Linked DNA regions of Lepisosteus oculatus. The protein of the gene in region 2 interacts with the protein of the main gene of each other region in a pairwise test. Links are inferred from orthologs where the notes say so. Each region holds a gene or a part of one and is shown on either strand. Other genes may lie near its edges. The genes, in order: rnf144b, ubiquitin-conjugating enzyme E2 U and trim32.

Region 1 (7,466 bases), on a different chromosome or scaffold from region 2:
ATTGATTTGTAGAGACAAGGGTCTAATGTCCTTAACATTTTCTAATTTTCTTTAACTCAACTCCTTTCCTAGGACAAATATACAAAAACATGATCACATTTTTTGTCCCATGTTAAGACATTAAGACATGTTAAGACATTATACACTAGATATTATTAGAATGAGTTCTGTTCTCTGTTGTGTCCGTGTTCTTATCGTGTGAGTTTGTGTTTTTATCTACTTTATGTTGTTATTTTGCTCTTTAGTTCACCCAGAAGTAAAAGCTTTTAAACACATTTCCCGATGCAAAAATGTGAATTGTGGTGGAAATGTACAAGTTAATGTTACAAGTGAGTGTCGCAGCACTGCAAGGAGCTTTGAGAAATATTTTCCGAATCTATTTATACTGCGACAGTTATGTAAGCAGAAACATTATACAACTGAGTTAAGTTAGAGAATATGTTTGTCATGTAAATGCACTCTTGTAAACTTTTATTCCATGCTGAAAAGAAAAGAAAGGAAACAACGTTTCGGGTGTGAGCACTTCGGCTCACACCCAAAGAGTGATTCCTTTCTTCTCTTTTCAGCATGAAATAAACCTTTACTTGTTCCTTTGCAGCCTACGCATGCTGACGCAGCTCCCTACTTGAACTACTCTTGTAAACATGTTCGCTAAGATCTACAGAATCAATACATCTCACTAGCACGTGCTTTTTAACCCTTTTATCCTTTACCTCCATGACTCCAGGGTGAAAGTTTATTTTAGTGTTTTATTTTTACAGTTAAACCCTTAGCTTCTCTGCACAGCCTGCACATTTTGAGGAGAAATTAGATTTGAGGCTCTAAAGTCTAACTGCGTAGGCTGGATCATTTTGGGCATGTCTTTCTTAATCTCAGAAATCTCTCTTCGTTTGGTACTGAGGCCGCTCGACAACGCCTTCTCGAACTCCATGATGGCTTTGAGTTCTTCTGGGGTTGGAGTGCGGTGGTGCTCTTTCTTAGCCTTGCTGGGCACAAACATGGGAACAGGGAGGACGTTCTTGTAGGGAAGCTGGTATTCCTTCATTTTCTCCCCCAGTATGCCCAACTTTATCTTCTGGTTGGGGGATCTCTGCACCAGAAAATGAGCCACTTGCTTCTTCTCATAGCTCTCCTTTCGCGAAGTGTTTTGCTCGAACAGCGTTGTCCTGAGAGTGGGTTACAACAGTTTGTTAGAAGCACGTAAAAAAAAAAAATTAGCTTGTTTTATTTGAGCTCATCCATCCATTTTCGAAACCGCTCCATCCACTATAGGGTCACTGAGGAGCTGGAGCCTATCCCAGCAAGCAACGGGAGTAAGGCAGGATACACCCTGGACAGGATTCCAGTCCATCACAGGCTGCACACACACTGACACCAGGAATTTCGTTTTCCCCAGAAACCAATCAACCTACCAGTATGTGTTTGGACTGCGGGAGGAAACTAGAGCACCCAGCAAAAACCGCTGCAAATGGGGAGAACATACAAACTCCATGCAGATAGCACCCCAGGTCCAGAATCGAACCCAGGGCCCCAGCACTGCAAGGCAACATTGTTAACCACTGCGCCATCATGCAGTCCTTGTTTGAGCCTGTTATGGGCAAAATGTATTGAATTTAGGGGTTATGGGTGAAATACAAATGTTACATTGAAGTCCTGAAAATGATAATAATAATGATAATGTTTCTTTATTAGCCCTATACAATTTCTTGCTTTAGGAATTAATCTTTTCACATACCCCAGCTTGTTCTCCATGAGACACAGACCGGGAGAGAAGCTTGAAGTCAGAGCGCAGGGTCAGCCATTGTACGGCGCCCCTGGAGCAGTTAGGGTTAAGGGCCTAGCTCAGGGGCCCAACGGAGTAGGATTCCTCTGCCGGCTGTGGGATTTGAACCGGCAACCTTCCAGCCACAGGCACAGATCCTTAGCCACAGAGCCACTGCTCCGCCCAATGACATACTGATTGCGATTCCTGTGGTGGTCTAAGGTTGTTAAGTTAGCAGGATATATGTAAGCTTACAGTACGAGCTGGAGTGTGAGTGTGTAGCACTGTTACTGTACAAGGCTCTGAACAACTATATGAGCTATGTAAAAAAAACAACTATCCAAAGGAAACAGCATTTTTCAACTGCAGATCATTTCAGCTTTGATGTTAGCGATCTGATACATAACTCCAATTTTCTTTTCTTATTTTAACTTAGAACTGTCTTACAAACAAGTTGGGATTCATTGTTTTTTTTGTCTGTGTCACCATCATCATTATCACCCATCTCTCTGTTCTTTATTTCACTCACAGTTCCTAACAGTTCTTAATCAGGTTTTAAAAAAGCTTCTTTTGTAACAAAATACAAACTTTAAGGTCACGATAATATGCAAACACAAAAGAGCTCCCCAGGTACCCTGATACACATATTTTCTACTCATTACATATTAAACCTTTTTGGCTAGGGTTAGGTCTGGTACATACTTTTCCTGAGGTCTTGTTTCCATATCCAGGTCCAGCCATGTTGATTGATAAAATTCCTTCTTCCTGACATTGTCTTCCTTCACATCACAATAGGCGTTGAAGAGATAAGGGATATCCTTTGCAGCATGGGAAGGCATGTTGGGAAAGCAGGCTTCTCAGATGTTATGGATAACTGTTTTATGCAGGCTGCGTGTTTGCTTCTGTTAAATGACAGTTTTCTCGGCACGGTCACGGGCCTCTTAAATAATGTTTGGTCTCTATTTTAGTTGCAGTGCATCACTGCAAATGTGTTCATCATGTCAGGTGCCAAAATATCTTGTGTGACCAGTGGGAAAAGAGACTGACTAATCCCACATCCATGTAATGATATTCATTACACAGAAGAGGCCAGAGGTCACGTGTGCCACTGACTGACACATGATGCCTTTTTATTTACTGCCACTGAACACAGCTTTAAATATTTCAGAAATGTTAATGGTAAACAATGAAGGAAAAGTGTAGGCATATTTTCTGTGCTTGTATCTACTACAACATTGGTCATGAAGGTGTAACAAACATAATCCTTTTGTAGGACTGGAAGAAAGATCATCGAGCCCATTTAGCTCATTTGGTTGCTGGTAGCTAATTGATTTGTGGATCTCATCCTGGCATATCCTGAAATATGCAAGGGTACTGGCTTCAACAGTATGGCTGTTACTTGTTTCAGACACCCACAATCTTTGGTGTAAGATGATGTATGTTACAAGGTGTACAGATGAAAAGAAAACATAAACCAAGTTTACTAAATGCAGCCACACTATTCAGATCAAACAGAAGGAAAAGCTGGTGTATAAAAATAGACCTTTGTCCACGATGAGAGAACATTACAATATTTGAGAACAGCAAGAGAACGAATGGATGTTCTCAAAGTTTTGAGTGAGGAATGGATAGCACACCAGAATTAATTGGCCAAGTTTTTGTGGTAAGTGAAAAATCCGTAACCAGATAAGCACGAGATAAACCAATTAAGGGGTTTGAATACGAGTGGGAGTTGGGCAGCATTTTCCCACTGAATGATCTTATTTCATTTTAACCTGATGATCAAAATACCCTTGTCTATGGTTTTGTACTCTGCATTTTTTCTGTTCCTGTTATTCAAAGCTGATAATGCCTTTGACTGGGCTGGCTATTCCAGGACAAAAAGGTTACAACTGTACAATTACAATTATGGTTTCCTTATTCATTTTTGTATACATATGCTCCTTTAAGACCTTTAATAGACAGAAAGGCTGGAGCCAGAATGAGGGTTAAGCAGATGAAGAATTTGAAGAGAAGTGTCTATTGGTTTTGTCAGCTACTCTATTTTCACGTGTGAAAAACTAACATGAAAATCTTCTAAGAAGTGGTCTACAGTATCTAAAAAAGACAAAAAAGAAACACAATATGTGCTATATTGCCAGGATAAGTCTAATTGCGGTCAAGAGATTTCTATAATTCTCCCACTGTATGCTAAATAAATTTAACAAATCATTCCGAACAGGAGACTCTCTAAATATTCAAAATATTACAATATTAATACTTTTAAGCTTTATTTCCTAAGGTGCTCCTGAAAAAATGCAAAAGCAAATCCTTTGTCAGTCCAATTTCAAACAATTAAAGACTTTTTAAAAATACATTTAACTGCATTACTTCAAGAACGGGCATCTGAGCAACACTTAAAATACTCACCACCATGTTTTTTTTTGTTAAAGTCAGCTTTAAGAAGGCCTTGCATATGTTTTGCTTTCTTAGTATGAAATTTAAAAATTAAGATGCAACATTAGGTGTTTGGGGTGGGGGGGAATCATGTGTAACAGACTACAGTACACACAAAGGAAGAGCTTGATTGAGTAGTAAAGAGAGATTACAAATGTATCTCTTTAAGGCCAAAGAATGCAATGTCAGGCCAGGAAATTCTTTTGCATCATTCAACACACTTGGGTGTCATATTACAGACAGTCAAGGCCAAATCAACAGAGCTTCTGAAATGGACACCCTGTCAATTGCTGAAGCTTTTAACAACCTCTTTTTTCCTGACCAGTGAATAATGTGATGTGGAAGATATGTTACACACAGCGACGGCCATTCTGGGGGACTGTTCATCAGACTGAAAGCCAATCTTCATTCCTGAAGTAAGAAAGGACATTTTTCTTGTTGAAAAGAATGTTATGAACCAGTTTTAAAAGAAAGGAGTGTTCCTTTTAGTTTTACGGTAACAGACTTTTCTCACCTAGAGCCTGTCAAAGGAATCTTAGAATCCTATCTGTGCCCTTTTACTTACTGTATGCAGTGACCTGTTTACAAAACCAGTTATACTGTGGTGACCGGGTTGTGAAGGGCTGTGTTAGGTCTCTGGATTCTTAAATAGAAGTGTTGGGTTCCCACATAGACACTGATTCCAGTGATTTACCCCCAGTTAATCAGTCCATCCCGCTGTGTATTTGGTTAAACAGTATTGCACGGGGTAACTCCGTCACGGACCATGAAGGCGTGAATTGAATACTGCCTGCTTAATGCTACAAAAACTGGAATAATCTACGCCTGTAGGCCCAGGTATGGGCTTTACCTTTTAAAGCAGAAGTGTGTTAGTACAAAAGGATTACAGAGATCAGTTGCAAGTAAATAGGTCTGGGTGTTTTGAATGAGTGGCTATACTTTCTAGAGCCAAGCACAGAGCTGAAATTGATGTGGTCCATGGTCTGTGACACCACCTTTTAGCTTTGGTCTGCCAAGAATAGGCTGCAGTTTGGCAAGTTTATCAATCTCAACCAGCCAGCTGTAAATTCAGCTTGGTTGCAGTGTATGGGTCCATAGCAGACTGATAATCTAGTCACTGTATTAATTTGAATTTAAGACTTTTGATATATACCCTGTCACTGTGCCACCTGTGCCACTGCTTGACAAATGCAATCTAATGCTTCAGGCATTTTGCCATATTCACTTTTCCGTGCAAACACATCAGTACTCCCCGCGGAGAATGGGTAAGCTGTCTCCTGCCCTGGATATGGTTTCATTACATTTTGCAGCAGTGAAGCAGAACATGAGTAAGCCAAGCTTTGGCAGTGAATCCACTCTGAATGGTGTCCAACAAGAACAGCCCGTCCTAATGATTTCAGTAACTTATAAAAGTCCTTCAAAAGTGGTGCATGTTTAATAAGCGGGACACATAATCAAGGCTGTTTTCACAAAGCAAGAAAGTAATAGTGCTAATAACCATGTCAGAGGTTTCAAACTTTTTCTTCCGTAGATGCGAGTAACTCTTCATACAAGCAGATATATATTAGTGACTATATTTCTTTTACTTCTTGTGTTTTCTGATCCCATTCATTTTCTGTTGGTTCCCTGAAGACAGTTATTTCCTATTCTATGTTTTCCTAGGAAAAAAGCTCATTCTCTTACTTTGGAAAAGCAAAATGAAAATAAGTGATTTAAGAAAATACAAAAGTTAATTACACAAGAATACTTACAAGAATAGAATCTGGGAGCTGAACACCCTATTTGAAATACAGTAAATACTGTAATCAGATGTACATAACTATTTTATGGAGATGCAATAATAACATTTTGCTAGATCTTATTATTTTCTAGTAATACTAATGCTTATGAAAACACCCGAAACACTTTTTAAAATAAAATCGAAACCAAACAAAATCACTGCAAGTCAACACATAGGCTGTCTTCCTTTAGGCTGGCTCAGAGCTGTGGGGCTCTGAAACAGAAACACTTTGTACACATCCAGGAAAACATACCCAGACTCTGTGTCTCCATTCCCCTCAGCACACCCCACAGAGCGCTTGTAATTAACACCAGAAATAGAAGTCTTGTGTCCCAGAAGATGCACTGGGGAAAAGATGAGCATGGCCCAGGCTTGAGCCTTGTGGGACCTCCTAAGCTTGACAGGTGACAATGAAGTGAGCAAGCATCATCTAACTGGACTTCAGATGAATCCCTAAGAAACAGGCATCTGATTTCTTCAAAACACCAGTTGACAGCTTGAGGCAGAGCAAAGTAGGCTCATTGCAGGGCTTTATACCAGCTCCTCTGCTCTTTGAACTGAGGACAATCCCAGCGCACTCTCAGATAGCTGATTGCTAGCACCTTGTTATTCACAAGCAAATCTGAGCAGTTTGCACATTTTTCATTGTACATCCCTGACTAAAATCTCTACACTAATTTCAGTTGAACCTTTTATTCCTGGCAGTTACTGTAACATCCAGCAGAATATATACAGCAGAAGGCTTCAGATTTGCACCAAACTGCAAGATGGGAAATATGGCCTCTAGTCATTTGAAACCCTACTGTGGCATCTGATGTCTCGATGTTCTGTTAGACAGCTCTGGTGGTTGCATAATCTACATTTCCCTTGCTAATGATTTGTCTGACAGTACTTGATTTGGTCATGGCACCACTGTAGCTCTGAGGTACAGCTGTATTGAGTGTTTTTGATTCCTCCTAAAGCAGCAGTCATAACAGTGGCTCAAAAGCTGCTGAAATGATTTGCACGTACAGTAGGCGCCTTGCCTTTTATTTTCAAAATGCATTCTCAGTTCTCTCTCGGATAAGGGCAACAGACTGCGGAAGAAGAGAACTGCTGCTCTGTGTGAAATGTGTACTTTGCTTCAGCATTGCCGATTTCATCAGGATACTGGGAAAAGCATTAATTAATTTTTATTCATTCACTTTTACATGATGCATTTTATAAATTGTGGGGAAAATAGCTGGACTCTGTTGCTTTGCTTTTGCCCAAGCAATTGAGCAACCTCTTTTTTCCTGAGCTGTGGGGAAAACTGTTTACTGACTTTCTGCTTTAAATATTAGTTTTAGAAAGTGTGGGTCATACTTCTATGTAATCAAGTAATTACATTACTTCTGCATTTGTTATTGTGTGAAGGGGGTGTTGTAAATGTGCAGCACTGTGAAATGTCCAGGCAATGGCCCATTCACCTTTCAGTTAGCTCAAGAGTGGGTTTCCTCCAGCTCCTCA
Region 2 (7,246 bases):
CCTGCAGCTAAAAAAAAATTTTATTTCCAAAATGGAAGCAGTGATAGCTGTATAATAATAAGAATTATTATTATTAGTATTATTATGATAAGTGGTATCTGTGTTTGTTTCTGTGCTCGCTGGTCACACCGCTCTGTTCTTCTCTCTCTTCCTTTAGAGCAAAGCCAAGGAGTTGCCCCTGTCAGCCGTACGCTTCATGGAGGAGCTTGGCGAGTGTACCTTTGGGAAGATCTACAAGGGACACCTCTACCTACCCGGTATGGACCACGCCCAGCTGGTCGCCATTAAGACCCTGAAGGACTATTCCAACCCCCAGCTGTGGGGCGAGTTCCAGCAGGAGGCTTCCCTCATGTCAGAGCTTCACCACCACAACATGGTGTGCCTCCTGGGTGTGGTGACGCAGGAGCAGCCCATTTGCATGCTCTTTGAGTTCTTGAACCAGGGCGACCTGCACGAGTTCCTCATCATGCGTTCCCCCCACTCGGACGTGGGCTGCAGCAGCGACGAAGACGGCACTGTCAGGTCCAGCCTAGACCACGGGGACTTCCTGCACGTGGCCATCCAGATCGCGGCAGGCATGGAGTACCTGGCCAGCCACTTCTTTGTCCACAAAGACCTGGCCGCTCGCAACATCCTGGTCGGGGAGCAGCTCCAAGTCAAGATCTCCGACCTTGGCCTGTCACGGGAAATCTATGCCTCGGATTATTACAGAGTCCAGCCCAAGTCTCTCTTGCCCATCCGGTGGATGCCACCGGAGGCCATTGTGTATGGGAAGTTTTCCACGGACTCGGACATTTGGTCCTTCGGTGTCGTTCTGTGGGAGATATTCAGCTTTGGCCTGCAGCCCTATTATGGCTTCAGCAACCAGGAAGTGATCGAGATGGTGAGGAAACGGCAGCTGCTACCCTGCCCAGAGGACTGCCCCCCCAGGATGTATGGCCTGATGACAGAATGCTGGCAGGAGAACCCCTCAAGGAGGCCACGGTTCAAGGACATCCACACCCGGATGAGAACCTGGGAGGGCATCTCCAGCCACGCCAGCTCCACCACGCCCTCCGGTGGAAACGCCACAACGCAGACCACCTCCCTGAGCGCCAGCCCAGTGAGCAACCTCAGCAATCCCCGCTACGCCAACTACATTCACATTCCGCAGGGGATACCACAGGGTCAGATTGCAGGATTCATGACGGCCCAGATGCCTCAGAATCAGAGATTCATCCCGGTAAACGGGTACCCCATTCCAACTGGCTATGCCGCCTTTCCCGCTGCCCATTTCCAGCCCCAGGGCCCACCGCGGGTTATCCAGCATTGTCCACCCCCCAAGAGCCGTTCCCCCAGCAGCGCCAGTGGCTCCACCAGCACGGGTCATGTGACAAGCGTGCCCTCCACAGGGTCCAATCATGACGCAAACACGCCCTTGCTGGCCCACTGTATGACCCTTTCCAATCTCCCTAGTGGGGCTGCTGTGCCTGTATTTGGACACATGAATCAAAAGCCTATGCCAATAGACCCTACGCAGGCTACTTTGTTATCGGACTCAAATAGACACATGTACAGCGAATCTGTAATTACTGCAGATCTGTAAACAGTCTCTTTATTTTTTTAATTCGTATTATTATTTTAACTTTCATGTGTAAATATATAAACCTGAATGACATGTAAAGATTTATATTCAGAAATGTTTTATAATGAAAGACTTTTTTTTTTCATAAAGCCTGTCTAATAGTGTCCTCGCAGACATCACCAGCGCCCTTCACAGTTTCGCTGTGAATAAACAACACCAGGTGCTAGCTTTTTGCTTGAAACTGTCTCCTGAACAAGACTATCAGCTGTTACAGCCTAAACGTTTCACAGTTTCACATCTTTAAAAGCGATTTCGTTGTGAAAAACTAACTAGAAAATCATAGTGGTATTTCCCCAGTACCACTGGTCTTACTGTTAGGTCTTTTTGTGTCACCTGATCAAATTCCTGTTATTCTTTCTGCATCAATTTGTATATTTCACACATTTTCACTGTTGCAACTGTTGCAGGAATTCTTAAAAGACAACTGCAAGGTTGTTGCCAAAAAGCATACAAGAGAAAACAATTTTGATCACTAATATTGATCCAATAGAGATTCCAGTGCCTTTTCTAATCTTGAGATTTGAATAGTCAGCTCACAGACCATTTTACTGGAAGTGGCGGTTCACATATTTAACAAAATCTACGCAAATTCTGGAACACATATTGTTGTGTTGCGGGAAACACACCAACGTAATGATTTTGTTTTAAATCTTTACCTTTACCTTAATGAGGTAAAGTCCTCATAACTGTTATGTCAATAAGCTATTCCTCTCTTTCTTTCACTACCAGCCTCTTTTTCTCAGCTATGCAACATATAGGCATAATACTGGCAGTCTTGTCTTTCAATTGGTGCTTAATGATTACTGTTAATGAAGAAAAGTGGGTCTAACAGTTCTGTATAAAAAGTGTGATTCATTAGAATTTCATAGTCTATAATATAATGAATGTTCTTTGTCAATAGCTGTATTGCCTTAAGCAGAATACAGGGAGATTGCTGAAGTATTGAACTATATTTAGGTTAAATCCTTTATACGTTTATTTTCAAAGGATTTACATAAGCAGCTGTATTTCATTCTTTGAATATATTTGTTGCTATGCAACTATTTAACACAAAAAACACCCAAAATCCATTTGTATAGAAGACAATCACTTGTACAGTGCAGTTCATCAGGGTACAATATTAAACTGAAGAAAAGAACATTAAAAACCTGCTGTGGTCAACAAGCTGTCTCTGGGATTTGTTTTTTTACAGTGATTACAAGTTACTTCAATGGGATAAAACATGTTTAAAAAGTCCAGGGCAGTCGATCCAGTTTGTTAGAAATTCTTCTCTTTGAAGTTTTTGAAAACAGTTTTTACCTACCTAGGTATCTGCAGTTTTATACAGGTATCCTCTGCTTTTTAATAGAAATGTACTCCAGTTAAAACCACTTTTAACAGAAGACTGTGAATCTAGTGCCAGATGTTTTGTGCCTTTGCAAAATGTTTTAATTATACTGTATTTTTAGAAACAGTCTTTTGTAGTATCTTATAGAATTCAGTTTGCTGATACTTACAAAAAGGTTTACAACATCCAGATTGTATTGAACAAGAGGCCTTTTTTGTATTTGTGAGATCTTTGCACAATTTTTTTTGTACGGCAAAAAAATAAATAAATAACATCGCTGTTGTGTTTTTCCTGTTATTTTTGGCCATTAATACTGTTTGCAGGCTTCCAGATCATATCGATCATTGTCATTTCTCAGGTGAGAAATTTATTGCAGTACACACTTCAGGTGAGAAGTTGATTGTAGTGCATATAGAGGGGTCATGTTTATGCACATAGAAATATTACAGGATTGAAGAAGGTGCCATACAGATATTTTGCCACCCCAAAACACACGAGCATGAAAATATCTGTAGAGGTTTGAATGCAGCTGTGTCAGCATGCATTGGCTGTGAAGGAAAAAATAAAGTTTCATTTCGTGCTGAAAAGCTGACAGAAGAAAAACTTCATATATTTTAATATTTTTTTTCTGCTGTTGAGCCTTCTTTAGGTGTGAGTCACAGTTAATTCTATAATTTCTCATTTCTCCACATGGTGTCATAATGGTTACCATTCATGAACTGGGTGCTGTACTCCAGTGGAGGAAGTGGGTCCATTCATACATGTGAGGTGCACTGGGTTACTATGTGATGCATACAGACATCCATCCATTTTCTAATGGCTTTATCCCATTCAGGGTCACGGCAAGCAACGGGTGCAGGGCAGACAAACAGACACAAACATACACACACTCACACCAGGGACAATTTTCCCCAGAGGTCAGTTATCTTACCAGGATGTCTTTGGACTGTGAAAGAGAACCAGAAAACACCAGGGCTAACCATCGTGCCACAGTTCCACCCATAATTTCTATTTTTACTTAGATCACATACTACATTTTAACCACAATATTTTAATCTGTAATATTTAGTTTATTTGTTTTTTAATAAGGTATGTTAAATTGCAATACATGATAACAATAAGGGGGAGGATTTTTTTATTTTTCATCTTCTGTCCACTAGATGGTAGCAAATAACTCCTTTAGTGGCTGCTTGTTGCTTGACAACAGGTCGTCGCAAACACGACGTCATTCCTTTATCAGGAACAGAAAAGGTAAGTAGTTTTAACGAAAGCTGTAAAAGACATTCCCAACTCAGTCATTTTTTTTCAGCGGTTGTTTTTTCTTGGCATGGTCTTTGTGATGTCTTGGCATAAATCGAATTTGGAAAAATATGATTTTACAAACACCATGTGGTATCAACCTAAATACAGTTACAATACGTTGTTGTGCCTATTATATCATATTATATACAGAGATATATATCGTGAAATTACGATATTAAGTGGAAAAACGTTTTTATTTTATTTTAAATCCTTTTTAATTGTCTTGTACAATATATTTATATGTGCATATACAGTATATACAGAGATAAAACTGCGATATGGCTTTGGTTTTTTGTAGCTTTGTAACTTCGCTTTTTTAATCTATATTATACCTAATTTAATATATACCTTTATGAACTCAGGGTGACATGCACTCCAGATCTTATTTACTGTTGGAGAGAGAATATCTTGAGCAGCAGAAAGCCAATCTTTTTGTAAGTAGTATTTCTCTTACTTGTCCTGACTTGCATTGTTTATTCAACGAAGGTTAAAATATACGTGTGAATGTAGTTTTTATATTACAGTTTTAAAAAGGGAAGGGAAAGTGCAGATCACTTAATAGTTCCTTAGATCTATTTCCTTTTGAGGTCGGGTTGGATTTCTGTTAGTTCACCTCAAACCTTAAGGTTTCGGAGATTTGCCTGGAAATCAGATGTCGTCTTGTTTCCACCCATTGTGCTATGTTCTTTCTAAATTAGATGTGGCTCCAGATTTACTCCCGTACAAAATTAATTCACGGCCACTGAACTAAAAAGAAGCTTCCATGCTGGTCGTCTCAGTCTCAACAGTAATGTAAATGCAATGTAAAGCATTAAGGAGAACTAATGAATGGGAAACCCCCCTCCTACATTACCTGTGTCTGGAGCGTTTGCATAAATTAAAGTTCCATGAAGTTGCCACATAGCCGCATATTCCTAAATAAGGGTTAAGGTAACTCCTCCAAACCTTGAGCGCACACACACACACAGAGGGACAATGTCGACACACCACTACGATTGATATTGTAAAAAGAAACTGATTTGAGCTACTGTATTTAATCTCTCTTTCGGCAAAATGCAGGACAGGGAAATTGAATTGCTAATTGAAGGATAACCAGATTATTGAGTCATTAGGTGTGAATCAGCGTTCTAAACTCCATTGTTCATTGTTCATGAGCTGATGTTTGTGAATTAAGAATATTCAGTGATACCTGATGTGAATTTTATGATATCGTCTGTGTGCCATTAGGTTGCCCATGGTTAGGTTAATAAAGTGGTTTGATATTGCCCTAATTTATCTCAAACTGATTTTTACCTATCCCTTTTCTGTTCGTTTATAGGTTTATGAATAAAAATGTTCTGTAGACCACTTGACAAATGGAAAAAAAAATATTCTGTTCTGGTCTGTTTTGGGTCAAGTTAGCCATTTCATTAAAGGATGTGCATTATGTGTGTTTAATGCAGGGCATAGTAGCAGAACCAGTCAATGACAACTTGCTTGAATGGGTAGCTAAAGTAAGGGGGCTCAAGGATTCTCTATGGGAAGGTGAGGTACAGTGCAACTTCACTTTTGTATTATATGGCAGAATCTGTAGTTTTTACTTTGAGCAAAATTCAGGATATCATTAAAACAGCAAGCCTTGAGAATGCAGGAGATGTTTAGTTATAGTGTGATATTAATACTTTGTCTACAAACATTAAAATACTAATGCATAAAAATGCCCTGGCATAGATTAAAATTAAGTGTGGCAAGTGTGATGAAAAATCAAGCTATGAAAGAAAAAAAAAAACATACTTCAATGTGACTATCGTACTTTAATATTGTTGAAAACATTTATTAATGGAAAACATTTTTGCAACACAAGGTGGCACAATCCAGCTGTCCATACAGTACAGCGAAGACTACAACACTGTCCCACCTGTGGTGAGATTCAGCACTATCCCATTCCATCCCAACGGTATGCAACAAACCTATTTTACTGCTGTGCTTTTTTTCTTTTGGGGCCAGGAGAGGTGTTTTTTTACCTATATAAAAATGCCTGTTACTTTCTCATGAAAAGTGAACAAGGACACTGGCCGGCCATGCATTAGCTTCCTGGATAATAAAGACGAGTGGGACTCAAGATTTTCACTCACCAGCATTTTGCTTGCAGTTCAGGTATGTAATATATTAACAGTTGCAACAAAGCCACAAAGAGAGCATTTTTCTAACTTGCATTTGCATAATACCTTGAACCATTTAATCAAGAGGTGCTCAACTCAAGTCCTGTAGTGTGGAGGCTACTCTGAAATCAAAGGCGATGAAAAGCTGTCAACCTGTTGTAGTTTAGCCAATAAATAATTCACCTGGAATGAAAACCTACAGACTTGTGTAACTGTCATTTAACCCTGTTACGCATCACTAGTAAAACCAGAAAGAAAGAGAGCTGATTTTAAATGTTGGGCCATTTATGCTGTTTGACCTGTTGCTCCATGTTTCAGAAATCCTCATCTGTTTGAAGATCTTCATGTCCTCATGATTCCCTTGGAGAGGCTTAAGCAGTGCCTCCCAATTACTTCCCTTAAGACTTCCACTTACTTAAGATAAGATCACTTTATTGGCCATATTCAATTTCTTGTATTAGGAATTTGACTTTTCACATACCCCAACTTGCTCTCCATGAAACACACGGACAGGGAGAGAAGCTTGGGGTCAGAGCGCAGGGTCAGCCATTTATACGGTGCCCCTGGAGCAGTTGGGGTTAAGGGCCTTGCGCAGGGGCACAACGGAGTAGGATTCCTCTGCCGGCCGTGGGCTACGAACCAGCAACCTTCCAGCCACAGGGCCACTGCACCGCCCATATAAAAAAAAAGGAATTGAGTGGCAAAGAAAGGGGACCCACAATCACCCCTAAATCTTCTCACATTACTTAATTAAACCATAATTGTAACCCTTTCCAGTTATTCAGCCACTTAAAAGTTAGATATTTATTTATATCATGTAATTGTTTAAAGGAATCTTCTAACAATGTTTAG
Region 3 (7,347 bases), on a different chromosome or scaffold from region 2:
CACATTTTGCAAAATAGCTCAGAAAAGCTCAGGTTAAGTTGTGTGGGAATGCTTCAGTGTTGAGTCAAGGCTTATCAGGACTAAAAGGGAAACTCTGATCTTTTTGAAATGGAGCATATTAAAAGGCATCTGAAATGAAACTTGCATCGGAGGTTCTTACATAGTGCTAGCCTGAGCCTGACGGAAAAACACGATGTTCTGTTCTAAATATGGAAGCAATAAAAATAAATGGCTTCATCCAGAAAACCCTCATATTTCATAAGTTTTCTTCATTATTCCTGCTTGTAACAAAAATTAAATCCAATATCCATTTGCTTGGGAATGAGGCTCCCACATAGCTGAAATAAATCCAAAATGTAATGTTTGACCAAGAATGACACGAGATATTTAGTACTAAACATCGTTTCAATGTTTCTTCTGCAGTAGGCACTGTTTTGGGAGGGGTAGAGAGGTGTAGGGGCAGGTGCTTTTAAGGGATTTTTTAAAACCTTCACTTTTGTCTAAAATAATTTAAAAAAATGTACCTGGGGTAGAACTAGCTCTTCTGCTTGAGAAAAAGACTAATGTATCTACTGTATGTTGACACTTCAGTTTCATTTTTTAGATAATGTGGGCAATACAAATGGGAAACATAATGTTAGGATATATAATATAATTATATATAGAAAGTGTAGAATTTAAAGTTCAATTATGTTAAAAATTGCACAATATTGATCACTATGTTACCAAAATAATCTTGCTGCTCTGGAATAAGTATACAGTATAGAAGAGAGACCGGTTACATTCTCAGGCTCGAAGAGAGCAATAAGGAATGCCCTCTTCTGATATGCTAAAAACTTTTTTTTTTCAGTTTCGGATGGACAAAGGACACAAGTGGATTCATCTGAACGCTTCAAAATCCTCAAAAACACTGACAAAGTCAACACTTTGGGCTTCTTCAACAGTAAAAATATGAACCAAAGGGAAAACATTAGAAACTATGGGGATGTACTTTTGCACAAACATTGTTGTAGTAGTACAGAATAAACTACCCAGTAATTCTGTCAAATCTAATACCTTGGCTTCTTTAAAGAAGAGGCTGGATGAGATCTTTGGATTACTTAGCTAATATTGACCAAACTATGCATATTGTATCTTTCTAGCAAGGTCTAGCTGTAAACCCATCTTGAAAAGCATACAGATAGAAAGACCTTTATAATATCTCTCTTCCTTTATATACTATATGTTATTCTTGGTGTATCTATACATTTTGGAGATTCATAATTTTGTATAATTTTTACCAGAAAGATTTTTTTTTCTGTTAATATCTGAAATGTAAATCCAAGTAGGAAATCCCATTAGGTCTTTATAAATGACTCTTGACGTCTACAGTCTGTAGTAAACCTCATTTTGCAACTCTGGAATGTGCTCGGAATCAGTGGTCGCCAAAATTGTGTTTTGCCCTTGACGATGCCCTCTACATTTCTGCTTTCACTTTCAAATGACGCATATAGAAATACTGCTCGCCCACCTCCAAAGTTTCTGTTAGCCCTGAAAGAGTTTTGAGTACCTTATAAATGGGATTACATTTCATTTAGCATACAGTTTGTACTTTTCTTTGAGAATACTCTTTCATTTTCCATTTTAAAAAGTGGCATTTAATGTGAATCAAACAGAATGAGGTACAGTAATATTCATAATTCAACTGAAACAGCTTTATTTCCTAATAGTAACTCTTGGTATGAAAAAAAATTTTTCCTATTTTCACAGCTGTTGACCTCTGAGGGCACAGTCCAGCTGAATTTTACCAAAACAGTAGGACTGTATGCAATGATCCATTAACTCCAGGGCAAACAGATTATTGAAAAAAAAGATAATGACCAAGGAGTAGGATATTTGTCTGGGTTACAGCCCAGCAAATCCAACAAAGCCAAGTAGGTCAATTTCAGAAAGTCTGTCTAATTTCATAACTTAATTTGTCTGAAACATTAAAACATTTCAGCTGGAGCATAAACTTCAGGATGTTTTTGAATCCTCTCCACCAATCGAGAAGCAGGGATTCACTACTCTACTCTATAGGCTACTCACACATGCTGACCAGCACAACTTTCTGTGAAAGAGAGAAAAAGCAAAGTAAAAAACGCAGAACACAGATTGTAATCAGTTAGCTATAATCCCGACGTGTATGGTAAGTGTAGCCTAGCACTGGCTGGGGTAAACACAAGCCAGATACCCTACAAGGAAAATGAGTAAACTGATAAGCGAGATATTTGGTAAGGTCAAGTTAAAAGGGAATGGGATTTTATTATTTTCAATAATTTCAATAAATATTGAGCATGTTTTTGTTTTTACATAAACCTCCAATTAAACCAAGCCCTGTTTCTCCCCAATAAAGCTTGTGCCAGCATTGAATTGGGCACCATCTGCTTATGACTGATAAATGCCCTTTCCACAGCTATCCTGGCTTATTCATGCTCAGGAGCCCATGCTTCTTCTAAAGGGCATCTGGCAAGACTGAAGGAGAGACGCAGCTCTCACAGACTCCTCTGCAATCTCCCGGGCCCCCTACAGGTCACAGATTGTGCAAGTGTCACAACCCCGAAGAAATAAGGCACTATATCTCGGGGGGAAAAGCAGCACAAATGCTGCTACTTTCAATGGCACTGACCAGCAAACCATCATTATTTGTGCTGTTTGCGGTGGTGTCAAGTTAACAGAGCTGTTACAGTCAGCTAATCGAGTATACTGGACTAGAACTAAAGATGTCTGGACTGTAGGTCTCAGGATGCAATCTAAGCAGTCATTTTTATAATAAAGATTAATAATACATTTAATTTGATATGGTACTTTTTTTAGTACATTTTACTGGCTGCGTTACTCAGAAGCTACACATGCTGTCATTTTAAATACACTGTTTTCGCTCAGATGAACTCATCTGGATGATATGGTATTCAGTAATTCTCATGAGGAATTCATGAGCAGGATCTACACCAATGGACAACAAATCCCATACACAGCCTTTGTCACCTAACCCAAAGCATTTTTTCAACTTCATTAGACATAAATCTTGTATTATAACCTGAAAGTACACACTGCTACATGGGAATGATCAGTTTGATGACTGAATACAATACAATCACGTGCTCAAAACGCACCAGTTCCACAAAAACAAGGCAAATACACTAAATAATTCCTTTTAACACGCATACAAATCAATGCAAAAATGTGTATACTACCAATAGGTCCCACATTACAATTGTACAGCTTGCCGTTATGTCTAAAAAGCTACAAATCCGCGATTTGCTATGTTAAGTACTCCTATCAATTCGTTCCAACAGACGCTAATATCTCAATCTCTTATTACGGCTGCAAGACTGTATGCTACCAAAATATGTGCTCCTACCGCCATCTAGTGACAACACGTTATATTGGCTTTAAAATACCTAAAAACGTACTGTACTTTGAATTCAAAATACACGGGGCAACCTCAAAATGTCAATGATACAGATTAAAGACAAATCGCGAAGGGCAATATTTCGTCCATTTTTTTTTTATTCCAAAGGGAATCTGATGTGTTACAGCATTATGTAAAAGGCTCACTGCATATCATTGGCTTCCCACCATTGCTTAATTTCCTTCAACGGACGAATTACTTTTCTCTTAAACCCATGCATTTACCTTCAGAATACCTGTACGTGTGTGTCCTGTCATTCGTTGCGTCGAGTCTGTCCTCAAACTCTTCCCACAAACAAAACAGGTGTCATGGCTAAATTCCACTCTGGACCTTCTGTCTGAGGTTTTCCTTAATTTAATTAATTACAGCTGGGGGGAGGCCATTCTGTGTTCCTACAGTTCAACCCGTTGGGTAAGAAAGTGCTTCCTATCCTCGGAAATACACTTACATGCTACAGTACGTATTTTACTTCTCGGTTTTTCACCGTTCGTTCTGAAAAGTCCACCGGGTTGAGTTTGTTAACGCCTTTGGGGATTTTGAACACCTATAAGATCCATTTGTATTTTTTTTTTTTTGTGGGACTGCAGAATGTAGCACAAATGAGCCAGGTGGTTGCTGCACTTCAGTGGTGAATAAAATCGGTCTCATCCTACCTATGAAGTATTTCAGGATTCTTTGGGATGAAAAGCGTTATTCTGTACTAATGCAAATACAATGAATACGTTAAGTCGTCACCTCATCAAGAAAAAAAGACTTGCAAAACTCTGAAACTCTCTCTTTTGTTTTCCTTTTCCAGCTGAGCTACAAGTTACTTAAACACCAACCTGAACCAGCTGCACCTGTTTACGAGCTGGAAGAGGTCGAGAACGGTCTGACACTGGAAAATGTCCCTTGTGAATTTAAGGTAAGTAATCGAGAACTCAGCTAGAACAAAAAAAAAACAGACAACCGAAGGATGTGCTCTGGACATATTTATATATGAAACATCTAAAAGCAGTGTCAAGTAAATTCTCGGTGTGGGGGAAAAACAGAAAGTCTGGGACCCGAGGAATTCCTCACAAGGAACTTCAAATCCCAGGAAGTCGCACTGTGACTGCTGTTGACAATTGCTCTCTCCTGCTTCATTGATGCTTGACGCCGCCAATCGTCTTGAGAAACGGGTCGCACTGCGTACGGAGAGGCCAATGAAATACCTCTGAAGGAGGGAATAAAGTTTCAGGAGACGTCACAGCCCGAGCCGCAGTCTTGCCTGGCACAACCGGGAGCGGGGTTTTCGGCCTGGGGATCTGACATTGGCACGGAAAGTGCAGGTAAGAGCACAACCAGCTCCCCAGCTGTGTAGCATCTCCATTTCGTTAATGCAACCCGCTTTGCGGAAGCAGCCGGGGTATGTGTGCTTTCTGTGCTGTAAAGATGATACTGCCGTCAGAGGCCTCCTAAGCAAGGTGTCGCTTACTGCTTCTTGGCACAGAAGGCACACGATCCCAGTTACTGTACGATTAAGTCGAAACATCGTTTCATGCAAATACCTCGCTAGTTTATCGGTAAATTAACACCGGCGTGGATTCGCCGCTGTTTGCACTAGAATTGCTGTTTTGTCGCTAGTGGACGTCATGGTTTTATTTGCACCATCAACACCTTTGGTTTCGTATTTATCTTACTTTGTTTTGGTTTTTTTTTTGCTTGCGACTACCCCTTTCTACAAATCCGTGCACTATCCCTAAATCCTCTTCTTAAATGACAATATTAGACGTTAATATACTTTAAAACGGAATGCTCCAGAATTGCTTAAAATATCCGCAGCTTTTGAGCGATTCATCCCGCCTATTGCGTCTTTCTTTAAAGACATTTAACTGATATAGCCATTGATATGCTTTTTCGTTGGTGCAGTCGCTGTACCCTCATTATCACAAAATCATTCTGGTTGGCATTTTTCAGCAGCGTAATTTAAAGGGGCACTGCAGGCAGTCAGGGTGGTGCAGACAGTCACTAGACTAAGCCCCTACCCTCTTGCTAATATAGCTGCAGTCCAGCCTAGAAGAGTCTGAAGTATTCAGGTTTACGGCCTTTTGATTAAAGTGCTGTCCACTGCAGTAGTCGCACCGCGCAAATACAGACTGGTCTGGACCAAGGTACGAAACATAAGAAAGGATATGAAGGAGGAGGCAATTCGGTACATGTAGCCCGTTTAGTTGTTGGTAGTTGCTATCATTCCTGCAGTCTCCACTTTGCATGAGCACTAGGTACTTTGGAATTTTAAAAAAGCTGAGAAAGTATGGGGCTTGAGAGCGATTTTTACAATGTAAGTCAGTTCTTTGAGCCTGAATTTACCCATCTCATTTTGAATAGTGGTTGATTTAAGTATTTAAAATCTGCGAAGGCAGAGCAGAATCAACCTTGCAGGTTTCTTCAGAATCTACAGAGGCTATGAGCGGGGAGCTATTGTATGTGCAGGTGCGTTTAAGACAGAATGGGGAATCATTCTTTTTACAAAGGGATGTGGGAATGTGGAACAAGCTGCTCAAGCAAACAATCTGGTTTTTTCTTTTGCAAGAAAAGGCTGTAGGAAATCTTTGGATAATTTAGCTACAGAAAAACGAAACAAGCAAAATGGGCCTCCTCTTGTGTAAACCATGCTTAATGCTACTCTTAGGAACATTACAAAACGCATCAGTTCATTATACAGAAGTGCATCGTAGTCTCCTTCCAAGTTTAAAAGATACAAATGCATTACCAAAACAGGACGATTTATTCCACAGTGCAGTGCATTTATTATTGAGTTCCATCAGATCACAGACGGGGAAATTATGCTTTATCTCATTTGCTCCTCTCCTCGCCAGGTGGAATTGGCTACAGGATCATGGCCTCGGCTGCCACTTTGGACCCAGACGTGGTGAGAGAGGTCTTGGAGTGCCCCATCTGCCTGGAGACCTTCAACCGGGAGCAGCTGCGCCCCAAACTCCTGCAGTGCGGCCACACGGTTTGCAGGCTCTGCCTGGAGAAGCTGCTGGCGAGCACCATCAACGGGGTGCGCTGCCCCTTCTGCAGCAAAGTCTCCCGCATGAGCAGCATCTCCCAGCTGGCGGACAACTTGACCGTGCTGAAAATCATCGACTGCGCCAGCTCCGGCTCGGCGACCAGCCTGATGTGCAAAGGCTGCAAGAACCGGCTGCCCAGGCAGTACTGCAAGGACTGCGGCCTGGTGCTCTGCGATGCCTGTAAAGCAGAAGGGCACCAGCACCAAGGGCACATAGTCCTGACTGTCCGCTCAGCTGCAGAGCAGCGGAGGAAAGAGGTGGGCGCCAAGCTCGCCATCTTGCGGGAGACGATGGGGAATATCCAGAAGAAAAAGGCCATGATCGACGGCATCTCGAAGTCCCTGCGGCTGAAATACAAGGCCGTGCAGCAGGAGTACGCCAAAGCGGAGCTCAGGCTCCAGGAGGAGCTGACGAAGTCCCGTAAGGCCTTCGCCTCCTCGCTGAGCGAAATCGAAAAGCTCAACACCCAGATCCTGGAGGAGCACACCTACCTGCTGAACATCGCCGAGGTCCAGGTGGTGTCCCGCTGCGACTATCTCACGATGAAGATCAAGCAGGCTGACATCGCTCTGCTGGAGGAGGCCGGCGACGACGAGGAGCTGGACTTGAAAAGCAACCTGCCCGCGCTTTTGAAGCTGCAGGATCCGGAGCTGGCGAAGGTCGAACGTTCGGAGCCTCTGGACGTGGGGCAGGTGGTGAGCAAGCAGTGTACCGTCGACACAGACGAAGGCTCCCATGACATAGCTGCGCTGTCGCTGGATGTGTACCGTGACGTCGACATGGCGACGGAGGAGGCTGCCTGTGCGTCGCCTAGCATCAAACCCAAGCCAGTGGAAGCGGCGGCTGCTGGATCCCACCTGTGTCAGTTCATTAAGA

What was found.
Region 1: the proteins of ubiquitin-conjugating enzyme E2 U (region 2) and rnf144b interact in a two-hybrid assay, tested with the Homo sapiens proteins (2 studies listed by BioGRID and IntAct). The link is inferred for Lepisosteus oculatus from reciprocal best matches to the Homo sapiens genes UBE2U and RNF144B.
Region 3: the proteins of ubiquitin-conjugating enzyme E2 U (region 2) and trim32 interact in binary tests that used the Homo sapiens proteins (3 or more experiments, as listed by UniProt). The link is inferred for Lepisosteus oculatus from reciprocal best matches to the Homo sapiens genes UBE2U and TRIM32.

What each region holds. Positions count from the first base shown.
Region 1 is NC_090705.1:10,624,281-10,631,746, reverse strand, and holds the start of rnf144b (E3 ubiquitin-protein ligase RNF144B), read left to right. Parts: upstream 1-4,445; 5' UTR 4,446-4,614; intron 4,615-7,466. Other genes in the region: telethonin, read right to left, coding at 770-1,166, 2,465-2,601.
Region 2 is NC_090704.1:14,113,222-14,120,467, reverse strand, and holds the start of ubiquitin-conjugating enzyme E2 U, read left to right. Parts: upstream 1-4,149; 5' UTR 4,150-4,202; intron 4,203-4,615; 5' UTR 4,616-4,621; coding exon 4,622-4,687; intron 4,688-5,695; coding exon 5,696-5,777; intron 5,778-6,096; coding exon 6,097-6,189; intron 6,190-6,291; coding exon 6,292-6,389; intron 6,390-7,246. Other genes in the region: inactive tyrosine-protein kinase transmembrane receptor ROR1, read left to right, coding at 158-1,585. UniProt on the Homo sapiens protein: Catalyzes the covalent attachment of ubiquitin to other proteins.
Region 3 is NC_090719.1:11,226,015-11,233,361, reverse strand, and holds the start of trim32 (E3 ubiquitin-protein ligase TRIM32), read left to right. Parts: upstream 1-4,237; 5' UTR 4,238-4,743; intron 4,744-6,273; 5' UTR 6,274-6,293; coding exon 6,294-7,347. UniProt on the Homo sapiens protein: E3 ubiquitin ligase that plays a role in various biological processes including neural stem cell differentiation, innate immunity, inflammatory resonse and autophagy.